3 linked regions of the Kluyveromyces lactis genome follow. The main gene of each other region encodes a partner of the protein of the gene in region 2 in a complex. Links are inferred from orthologs where the notes say so. Each region holds a gene or a part of one and is shown on either strand. Other genes may lie near its edges. The genes, in order: TTI2, TTI1 and TEL2.

Evidence for each region.
Region 1: TTI1 (region 2) and TTI2 share a complex: the UniProt entries of both Saccharomyces cerevisiae proteins name them as parts of the TTT complex. The link is inferred for Kluyveromyces lactis from reciprocal best matches to the Saccharomyces cerevisiae genes TTI1 and TTI2.
Region 3: TTI1 (region 2) and TEL2 share a complex: the UniProt entries of both Saccharomyces cerevisiae proteins name them as parts of the TTT complex. The link is inferred for Kluyveromyces lactis from reciprocal best matches to the Saccharomyces cerevisiae genes TTI1 and TEL2.

The regions. Positions count from the first base shown.
Region 1 is NC_006038.1:366,562-369,967, reverse strand, and holds TTI2 (Tti2p), read right to left. Parts: upstream 1,789-3,406; coding exon 505-1,788; downstream 1-504. Other genes in the region: protein transporter TIM8, read left to right, coding at 62-325; KLLA0_B04004g (pseudouridine-5'-phosphate glycosidase/carbohydrate kinase family protein), read left to right, coding at 2,065-3,406. UniProt on the Saccharomyces cerevisiae protein: Component of the ASTRA complex probably in chromatin remodeling.
Region 2 is NC_006042.1:2,389,836-2,394,022, reverse strand, and holds the start of TTI1 (Tti1p), read right to left. Parts: upstream 2,909-4,187; coding exon 1-2,908. Other genes in the region: ETP1 (Etp1p), read left to right, coding at 3,244-4,187. UniProt on the Saccharomyces cerevisiae protein: Component of the ASTRA complex involved in chromatin remodeling.
Region 3 is NC_006040.1:1,280,480-1,284,399, reverse strand, and holds TEL2 (Tel2p), read right to left. Parts: upstream 2,506-3,920; coding exon 505-2,505; downstream 1-504. Other genes in the region: HOB2 (Hob2p), read right to left, coding at 1-127; ESP1 (separase), read left to right, coding at 2,806-3,920. UniProt on the Saccharomyces cerevisiae protein: Part of the TTT complex that is required to stabilize protein levels of the phosphatidylinositol 3-kinase-related protein kinase (PIKK) family proteins. Required for telomere length regulation and telomere position effect.

The sequences.
Region 1 (3,406 bases), on a different chromosome or scaffold from region 2:
CAATCCTATAGTTACCAGCACCGCTTTACAGTTTGGAAAGAGCCACACATATATACAAAGAATGTCTTCTATCTCACAAAACGATTTATCTAACTTGGATGATGGTTCCAAGAAAGAAATCATGACCTTTTTAGAATCCGAGAATTCCAAGCAAAAAGTACAGATGTCTATTCATCAGTTCACCAATCTTTGTTTCAAAAACTGTATTAGCAACGTTCAAAATGCTGATTTGTCTTCTCAAGAAGAACAATGCCTAAACAACTGTGTTAACAGATTTTTGGACACAAATATCAGAATTGTTAAGGGTTTGCAATCTATTCAATAATTTCACTCCGCGATGTGAAAAGAAAATGTAGCGCCTGCTAAACCTGAACCTGTAAAGCTCGTTGTGTGACTCCACTTCTTGTACATATATCAGTGAGCCCCGCCCCTGGTTCGTTTTATTTTCGGATTGCTAAGTTACAGGGTTAGTATTTTTCTTTATGTGATGAATTAGATAGGTATTTATGCAAATAAATTAGTAAGAGATTTACGCTCCTTCAGTTTCTTTGATTCTTCTTTGAAATCACATCCGAATGATTCGAGTTTAGCTAATAATACTTTACATTTGTCTAAGACATCTGCTGTTAAAGATCCCTCGTTGTAACATTTTTCATAGCATAGTAGAATGCAAGCTAGGATATCATACCTTTGATTGACTATACTCTCTGGAATACATTGATCACAGAGTAATATCAATAGATCAAGACACTTATGTAAAATTGGCATTTGTAATGTCATGAACGCATTCCTGAAATAGAATTCCCCAAGAACGTATATCACACGCTGTAAATATAATGTTGTTTCTTTCCCCAACATCAGAACAACATCTTGACAATAGCCAAGAATCCACAAAGAGAGCCCAGGGTAGTCTAATCCGATTCTTGGAATAGTAAGTTGTAATATATTCTCAGAAAACATGTGCCCTAATCTATCTCTAAAATCTTGATCGTTATCTGAAGCTTCTACTCTCAATATTAGCTGTAACGCAGGATATGTCACTTTCCATGTGCGAAGCGTCTCTTCTGGAGTTGAGGATGGTGGTAAGTTGTATAAAAGGTTTGTCAATATTGGCTCGTATACCTTTTGTAGCCCGGTATCCTTGAAATTAAAATTATATGTATCTCGCTTGTTCAACACTGATTCTAGTAATGTGCAGAGCAACATAATTCCATAAACTCTCACATTTTCTGGCCCTAATGTAGTGTCATCAATTATATTAAGTATTCCTGGACTTATCCAGGGTAGGTTTGCAGAAATTTCCTGCTTCCCTAAGTGTCTCAAAATAATATAAAATAACCCAATACTTCGTAATCCACCATTAGTCCTCCATTCTTTCCATCTTGATTCACCAAACGTTTGTTCAAAGCCTAATCTTGGCTGTAGGCCAGGTCTGGAGCTTTCAATCTTACGGCGGCCTGAAGGGGTTAAATTATCATTATTGATCCCGGTCGATTTTATTAACATTGGTTTCAATGCAGAAATGAAGGAATGTACCAAATCATGATCTCGGTCCAAATAATTATCTATAAGATGTGTTACTCTATCTCTTTGCTCGTACCTTGTCCAGTGTTCATTTAACAAAAAGTATGACAAGCTGACCAATCCTTTGGTAAACCATTCTTCCTTATTCTCAACGTTTATATTCTTATCATAGAAAATAATCAATTGTTCTACTGAATCTTTGCTTGGAACACTCAATTTGTCTTCCTCAAGGTTTAATAAAAAATTCAACACATGTTGATTCATTGTATAATCGATTGGCTTCTAGATTGGCCTTAGAAATGCTATATTTTGAGGTTTTTCGGCAAGGCTTGGTAACGATCATCAATATGCTTGAATTTGGGATGAGCTCTCAAAAATATGACATATAAAATAAATGGATCTGAAAACTATGTGATATCGGAAGAAGATATAATGTCGTCGAACAGAGAAGATAACTGTTGAGGCTATCTGATAGTGTTGTTCTTCGCTGAAGAGTGTTTTTGTGATTCTGGTAACTGATAGCATTGACTGCTGGACAAGATGCTACGAACTTCAGTGAGGTCTCATGTACAAAGGATAGGTCATCGAAGGCTGCATTTGTCTGTCTCTGATGAAATACGGGAGGCATTGAATGCCAAAATGCCCGTAGTGGCATTGGAATCCACCATAATATCACATGGATTACCGTACCCGGAAAATATAGAGATGGCCTTGAAGGTGGAGCAAGAAATCAGGAACAACGGAGCCATACCTGCAACAACAGCTTTCATTAATGGTATCCCTAAAGTTGGATTAAAGACGAGAGAAATCGAACAATTAGCAGAGTATGCTAGGAAGGGTCTGGTAAATAAAGTTTCTCGACGTGATATATCTTATACTATTGCTCAAAAACTTTATGGAGGCACTACAATATCGAGTACGATGATCTTGTCCCACAAGGCAGGTATTGAAGTATTTGCTACAGGGGGACTAGGTGGCGTTCATAAAGGCGGTGAACTAACTCTTGATGTTAGTGCTGATTTAGAAGAATTAGGAAGAACTCCTGTATCCGTGGTGTGTGCAGGCCCAAAGGCAATATTGGATATCCCTAGAACTATGGAATATTTAGAGACTAAAGGATGCATGGTAGCTACAATGGGGCCCCCGGGGACGAATGTTCCAGGTTTCTATACTAGAGATTCAGGAGTGAAATCTCCTTATAATTTTAACTCTTATCTGGAAGCTGCACAAATTATACGAGATGGTAATGAATTTGGGTTAAATTCGGGCTACTTATTCTGTTGCCCTCCTCCAAGAGAAGTGGCTTTGGATGATAACTTCATTAACGATATAATAGAACAAGCATGCCAAAATGCAGCAGCAGCAGGTATTAGTGGTAAAGAGTTAACACCTTTTTTACTCAGGGAGATAGCTTCAAAGACTTCAGGAGCGTCTGTTAAATGTAATATTTCATTTGTACTGAACAACTGTAAAATTGCAGCAAATATAGCGGCTTCTCTATCTAAACTAAAGCAAAACATTATTCCAAGATATGAGCCTAAAAATCAACGGGGAACTATGACAAGCCAGGAAACTTCAGGCAATGAAAAGGAGACAAAGGTTCTATCTGCGGTAATTGGCTCTGTCGCTCTTGATACTCAGTGCACTTTCAATTCTTCACATATATACCAAGGTGATTCTAATCCTGGGAAAGCGTCAACCTCTATTGGAGGAGTTGGACACAACGTTGCGTTAAGTGCAAACTACAGTAATCGAAGCTCTCAACATCAAACCACACTAATCAGTGCTGTCGGCAAAGACATTGCTGGAAAGCATATATTGTCGGGGCTAGGAATGTCTGCGGATGGTATTTACATCAACGAATCGGAAAGGACAGCACAGT
Region 2 (4,187 bases):
ACTTGCACATCTCTATGGTTATATGGTCCGGTAATTGTAGCCCGAATTGGTTCATACACGTTATAAGCAATTTGCTGCAACGAAGGTATGCTTGTAGTTGCAAAGTGTTCGTTGTGTGGACTCTAGTAGATTTGGAAATTGGAGAAAGCATTTTGGATACCATGGTGTCCCTTGCAGAAAAGAGTTTCCACATATCTAGTACCCTTTTCATGAGGAAGGAATCAGTGTGTAAAACCAAAGAGTTTAAAAGTTCGTAACTTCTACCAACTTGTGCGAGATCCTCGGAGATGGCTGACCGTACAACGATATCCCAGACTTTGGCAACGTTTGGTAAAAAGACCGCCTGCTGTGTAGAGAGCATGGGACATAGTAAGAGAAGTAGATCTAAGCATTTATTTCTCACGGAACGCGATGAATGTGTTAAGAGCCTGTCTGCGTACGTCCAAAACCTTAAAAGTAACATATAGGCATCCCTTGATATTGGGGACTCCCATTTCATCTCATCTTTCGCCTCCCCATTATTCACCGAGGAATTGTTCTCCGATACAGCATCTTCTTCGTCTTCATCTTCGTCATCGCTATCCTTTTCAAACCTTTCCTTGAAAAACTCCTCGGCCGTCTGTTCAGGTGGTTCTACCTCAGCAATGCTACCATAATCATCTGCAGCAGTTTTCTCCTGATCCAATACATTTAATACTTGTTCGATATTAGACATACCCCATGGCTTGAAGGAATCCTGGTTCCAGGTTTTGATCTCGATAGATTGTCCGCTCGATTTGCTCAAGAAAGTGTATTGTATCTTGTATGAAATCTCTATGAATAAGTTCAATAGTACAGTGCAGAGGTCATCGTATCCATGATAATATCCTAACATCCAAAATAGCTTCTCTAGGATATCATTCAAACGTTCCACAAGATCGTATCCAGAAACCTTTATCACTACACGAAGAACCATATATGCACGATGGAATAGACAATTGTCAAGTCTAACTGAGATTCCGTCAATTATGTAATTAACATTATCTTGAAACAAATTTAGCATTGCACCCTGGTAGAATTCATTGGCCAAATATTGAAGAATATTTCCCGAAATGAATCTTGTGTTCTCATCATCGCTTGCGAAACATTCAATGACATTATAGATGTAATCTAACATTTCATCTTTGAAATCTTTACCCATTAGAATAATCATTTGTTTCATAGCAAACAAATTCATAGTCAAATTGGTGCGCTGCAACTCGTTTAGTTCCGTTTGATTCGATAAAATTGATACCCGCTCATTTGCCATTTCTATAATGTCATATTGGCAGGAGATTGGGTCTGAATCATGCGCAAGAAAATCACTTATGTCAGTGTTTTTATACCCTGTTAATAAAGTTGAAGCTATCCAAAGAGCTTCGTTTGAGTTTTTTAAGACATCTGATTCTATTGAAAGAAACTCAATGATTTGTTCTTGTATTGAAGAGGCGCTCATCTTGGATCCTAGTTGCAGTAAAATATTTGTAACATTTTCGTACGCTGTAGATGATATTTTCGGAATTATGGAAACTTCAGAATTATTAAGAGATCCCGATGTTACCAAGTAGTTTACCTCTGAACTGGTAACCTTAATTAAATTAATGTTCTCTGTTTTGTCTAAACTCAACAAATGGGTTTTCAAAGAGTCATATATTCCATAAGCAACAGTTTTTGATATTTGATATTCCTCAAGCTGATCTGTATCCAAAATTCTTAATGCATTATTCACAATATTATATTGGTTGATTTCTTCGAAGTTTGTTTCGACCTGAATATTGTTATCTCTCATGAATGCTGCAATATCGTTCTTGAATCTTTCTAATGCAAAGACGTTATCCCTTGCTACTGTAAGAGCCGTCTTTAGTATAACTTCTCTGCACCCATAAAGTGAATTATGGCATTTATTAAGTAGTAGAACACAAGCTTCAAATAGTTCACCATTCAGTTTTTCATTATTCCTTTTAGTGAGCTTTGAAAAGGTGGGTTCAAGTGCGCGTTTCAATTGAATTGATGTGGCATTTAACCATTTGGTAGTTCTGTGCTTTCCTGGATTTTTTACTTCAACAGCAGTATTTCCTGTAGACGTTTTGATGAAAGTTTCCAAAGAAGAGTCACCATATACCATACACAATAGTTCTGACATAGTCGATAATACATCACTTGCCACTTTCACATGAGTAGTCAACCCTGGACGAGAGAGAATCTTAGCAAATGTAGAGACATTTCCGGGAACCACATTACTTAACATTTCTCCGTCATTTATTACTCTGTACAGTAATCTTAGTGTTTTTGAGCTCTCTAACTGGATTGACATATTGCTATTTTCTAATAATGTTAACAAAATGGTGATTGAGTGTGCAATTGCTGGGAGCATATTTGCATCCCATTCCTTGAAAGCTGCTGTGGAATACAAAACTCTTAAAAGTCTGATGGAAGCAATCTTGAATTCGTCTGGTTTATTGGGAAGGTTGACATTTTCTAGATCGGTAGATATTAGAAAGGTTGATAGGGAAAGAAGCTGCGAGAATGTGTTCCGATCCACTGTCGCCGGTAAACTCCACGAAACGTCTATTATTCTCGCCAAAATTTCGAATACTAATGTTGCAATTGGGTCCGGAAGTGATTTACACGTTTTCAACATTGCAGAGATAGGCACAAACACATAGTCTCCAAACCTCCCTGAAAGCGATTTGTGCTTAGTTATAAGGATATCTAAGTTTTGAATCAAATCTTGTAGTAACTGTTTTAACTGCGGATCCTGTAATATGAGTAGCTCATCTTTCCTGAAGGTAACTTGGGAGAGTCTCACACAGATTGGTTTTATCTTTCCAAAGGCTTCATCTTTAGTTCCTGCATGTTCTGACCGAACATGCTGACCTTGTGTAAACATAGTAGTATCTCAAGCGGCTTCTGATGATATATTTTTATGCTATGTCAAAAAGCTGTGACGGTAACTCGTTATGTTTAACATATATTTCGAGAATAAGGCAGATCATCGCGTAAAAGATGCATTTCATTGAGAAGGCTTAAGTATATCATTAAAATCACGTGATCGTTTTTTTTTCCATTCTTCCTTTGGCAGGTTCTCATCCCGATTGTTGATATTCCTAGGGATGAGATGACTACTGGCAACAGCTAATATGACGCCAAGAGGCGAACCTTCGTACAACCAGAAAACTTTACATTTTGCCTACTAGTTACCTGTCGGGTCTAAGAATAATCCATATGGAATATACATTACTTATCGAGGTAACAGAAAGTCTAGACGATTGTTATAAGTTTTTTAAGTCTGGCAAATTGACTTTTGAGCGGAAGACTGATTCTCGTATTGAACAGAGTTGGAACCATATTCCAATGCTAAGTTTACATTCTTGTAGTAACAAAGTTTCCATCGAATCCGAATGGTGTGGCCATGGTATTATACGGCTTTTCAAGAATGGCCACGCATCAGTTGGTACCTTTGATGATAAAGAACTCTACCGGGAATTAGGTGATGGAAGGATGCTAGCCATACTATTTATTCCAAACTACTTGACCATAAACAGACTATTGGGATGGTTTATTGGAGAAGAAACAACCAATCAAGTGACGCATTTACAATTAATAAAAATGAACAAGGAAAAAGGACGGTTTATGCTTTTGATGAAATTTAAGGAACAAAGCTTGGCGAAAGAGTTTCAGAAGCTCTTCGATGGGAAGAAGTTCAATGAAATTGATCCAGAAACATGTCATGTGGTAGCAATTAAGGAGCTTATATTTCATCAAGGAATGTTTAGTGAAGATAAAGATGCTCTCCCCTACATGTTAAAATATCCGTTTACTCAGAGTAGTTCAGAACAATCTGATGGTTTAATAGAACTACCTATGTGTCCTGTTTGCCTAGAAAAATTAGACAGCGAAGTTACTGGATTAGTCACAACCCCTTGTCAACATACGTTCCATTGTAAGTGCCTAGATCAATGGAAAAACGGTAATTGCCCTGTCTGCAGATACTCACAGTTAAAAGATGTTAATAATGAACCACTGCCGCGTTGTCTAGAATGCGGTGAAACGAACAATCTTTGGATCTGTCTAATTTGTGGACATCTTGGATGTGGTCGTTATAATTCTCAACATGCAATATGCCATTACGAACAATCGAACCATTGTTTTGCAATGGATTTGACAAC
Region 3 (3,920 bases), on a different chromosome or scaffold from region 2:
CAATCCTAGCATTGAAGTATAGTAACGCAAGATTGAATATAATCTGTTGCGTAACGAAAAGTATCGTCATCAATGCCAGAATTGATTTAATGCCATTGAATAACAGCGATATAATATCATATCCCATGTTTCATTGGCTGACGCAAGTAGCTACTTGTTACCCAGATCTAACGTGTCGGTAGATTGGCGGTGAGCAGAAGTGAATGGTTGTTTGTAATGATCAGCGTCTTATTCCGAACTTTTGAGCGTTTTCTTTACCTTAAAAGAGAAGCTTCGGGAAATCACGTGACCAATGCGCTGGGGCACCTAAACTCGTTAACTGCTTATGGGAAAGCAATGAAACCTTTGGTTGCACGCTCGAGACGGTTTAACAGTGTAAATAGGTTATGAAGTCAAATATGTCGAGATATACATTGCGTGTGCAGGTAGTAATTTGATGAAAATTTTTTTTTCCTCTAACCATAGGCTCCATTGAATTCCCCAGATTTTGTCATTCAATGAGTCTTAAGAGGTTTGAACTTGTTGTTTCACAGCATCCGAAAGGATTTCTTGCATCAAAATTTGCATCTCTTCTAGCTCATAATGAGGACTTGCACAAGTTAAAATGATCTTGAGCATAGATATGTAGTGTCTCTTGAACACTTTATCGAATGCACCAAGGTTAATTCCGTTCAACCAAGCATGTGCCAAGGGATAGAAGAAGAGTGTAGCGTACTTCCTAAAATTATTCTGCTGTTGTGTAATCTTACTATCAGTCTCTAAACGTTTTGATCTCCAAGTAACCTTGCTTCCTGTTATTTCAGTAATATCTTGTATCTTATTATTTTCAGGTTGCTGTTCAGTGGCCGATTCATCCCATGGTAATCGATTAGTAGGAAAATCGTATTTAGGTTTCACCACAAATTCATCATCAAAACCCCGTAGTTCCCTTGCACTCAATGCTGCAGATGTCAAGATTACCATCCTTTGTTGCAACGATAACTCGTTATTGAAGAGAATTGCATAAAGATCGACAATCTTGTCTGGACATACAACCAATATGCTAACTAATGCATTAGCCTTCCATTCTTCAAATGATTTTTCGTCAAACTTGTTCGATATGGTGGCTATCTTTTTGAGGAGTTCTTTAGAATAAAAAGATACTTCTGTTGGGAAGTTCTTCTTCTGTCGTACTAACTTCACAGTTTCCTTTAGCAATCTAAGTTCGGACCCATCATTCTTGATAACTTTCTCGAATTCCAGCAAAAGATCTTTGAGGAACAAGATGTCTCTAGAATCTTCTTCATCAGATTCATCGTCACTGTCCTGCAAAGTTATGGTATTAAATTGCTGTACAAGTTCATTCTTTGTAGAGTTCCCTTTTGGCAGATTTTGTAGTCCTTCCTTAATGGGAAATTCAAGTTTGGATAGCTTGATTAGTTCAATTCGAGGCAAATCGATTGTAAAATCGCTTTCATATTGAAGCTGATCATTTGTAAGTTTCTTGGCAACAAACATAGTACGCTCCCTAACCAGATGATCCTCAGAATGAAGTCTCTTGGTGACAAAATTCAAGGAAATTGCATCATGCGATAGTTCATCTCTGGAATCCTTAGACATGGCATCTAATATCATTACCAAGATTTCAGCGAGTGAATCATCTGTGTATAAATCCATCAGTTCAAAACATGGTAGTAATTCTCTGAAGAGCTGTGCACGTTTCGCTTCTGACATACCATGCAAGTAAACAATTTTAAAATACGGATTTCCCCATTTGAAGCAATCTATGCTAGTTGGGATATCGAATGGTAACTGGGATAGTAGTGTGAAAATGGTAGAGCTGTTATCAGGATTAGTTACTTTTTCAAGGAACGGGACCAAATGATACATGAAAAATCTCCTCTGTTGAACTGAGGTCCCCTTTGATAACATCATAATCAAAGCATTCCATGAAAATTCACTAGTAGTAGCAAGCCCTTCAATGAATATATCAACACCATAAGGAATATTGAGCTGTAGACATGAAACGAACATTTCGAGATGCGTCTTATCATATTGCTTCGTCTCTTTAAAGACAAATTCCCATTGCATCTTCATAAACTTTAAATATTCAACGATGGAAATACTGCTGCTTAAAGCGTTATAACATCTGCTTCCAAACAGAATCGATTTGATAAAAGGGAGATCTCTTCTTGACGAATGCTCTAAGTAATTGAATAGACAATCACTCTCATACTTAAGAACATCCGTTAAAAAGCCGTAGAATATTGACGTCTCACGATTCTTACCCAATTCTTTTGCATACTCAATAACCAATGATATGAATATGTAATTATTACCGCATAGCCTGCGTAGTGCCATCTTTAATTCTCTCGGTAGCGATGGATATATTGGTACCACATTCTTGATTATCGGGAGTATTTCGTTACTAGAATGCTGTTTCTTTGATGACATTCGTTCTAGTACCTGATAAATGGTATCTTTATCACATTTCTCATTCAACAAAGTACTATCAATCCCGGACATTGTGCGCTATAATATACAATCTATCACGTCAGCAGCACTTTAGCAGCTTTGCAATGCTTGTCTCATCTATAGGTTTTCATCTCATAGTCTTTTATTCATCTCATATTAAATGTCAATCTTTACAATAACACAAATAAAGAATTGTTTTTGTTTACATATTAGATTCTGTACTTGAAAGTGGCAGATTGCAGAAAGAACTAGAGACTATACACATATCAGCCCGCCAACTTCGTGGATATTGGGTAGCCAGGCTTTAGCCCATACTGTAGTACGTTTGAAACAGACAGCAGTCATATCGAAATGAAAGGTGTCTTGAGTGATATGAAAGTTGACAACAGAGTTAGAAGACCGTTAAACGCTGGATCAACAAAATACGATACGGAATGGCAGGCTACGTCAAATAGTTCGAAGATAACTACAGCACAGGAGAATAATACCAACTCCCTGATTGACTGGAAGAAATTGTACGATTTTGTGGATAATAAGAGCAAAGATTTTGAGAACTACATTCAAGTAAATGATAGTTTCATTCAGTTATATCGCCAATTGATCTGGCGTCATCAGTTGAAGAAACTTCAGGAACTTCCGAAAAAGCATATGAATTGGATTATTTTTTTGATGGAGAGAAACAAATTGACACAAGCTAGCAATCAGATCTTAATGCTATACAACGAAACCAATTTAATTAAGGCCAAAGGTATTGATGACGTTTTGTTAAGTGATTTTTCTGCGGGCAATGAGAATTACTTAGCAACATTAAAAGTAATAACAATGCAGTTGATATTGAAAACAGGAACGACAGAAAGACACGCGGAAAGTCTTTTGGAATGCTTTGCTCATGATACGCGATACCTTCTGAAAGACCCTAATGTGAAAGTCCACGCTTTGGTGAAGCTAATATTAAACTTCTTTACATTGCTAACTGGATTCAAGCCTTTGTTTGGACTCAAATTCGTTCAGTATGTGAATCAGTTCAAACTCGAATTTGGTAATTACATAAAGAATATGGATTCTTCGACGTTTCAAAGACAAATTACCAAATTACTTCGAAAGGATATATCTGTAAACTGCCACATCTATTTACCGAAATACTATGATGAGTATACGAAACATATGGAGAACGATCAAGTGAACTTGACCGAATTTTTGAGGACTGATGTTATAGGTAAGGACGTTTGCACGGAAATAAGAAATCAATTGCGCCTCCAGAGTTTTTCTGCAGGTAAGATCGATGCACTTCTACGACCTTTTTTGTATCAAGCTGCCTTAAACAAATCATCCTCGAGATTGTGTGATAGTCTAATCATTTCTGTCAATAATTCCATTAAAGACCTGAATGAGGAAGCTGTAATTTATGTTCTTGTTTACCTATCCAAAATATTTTTATCATTTGAGGACTTCAAAAGGACTGATAA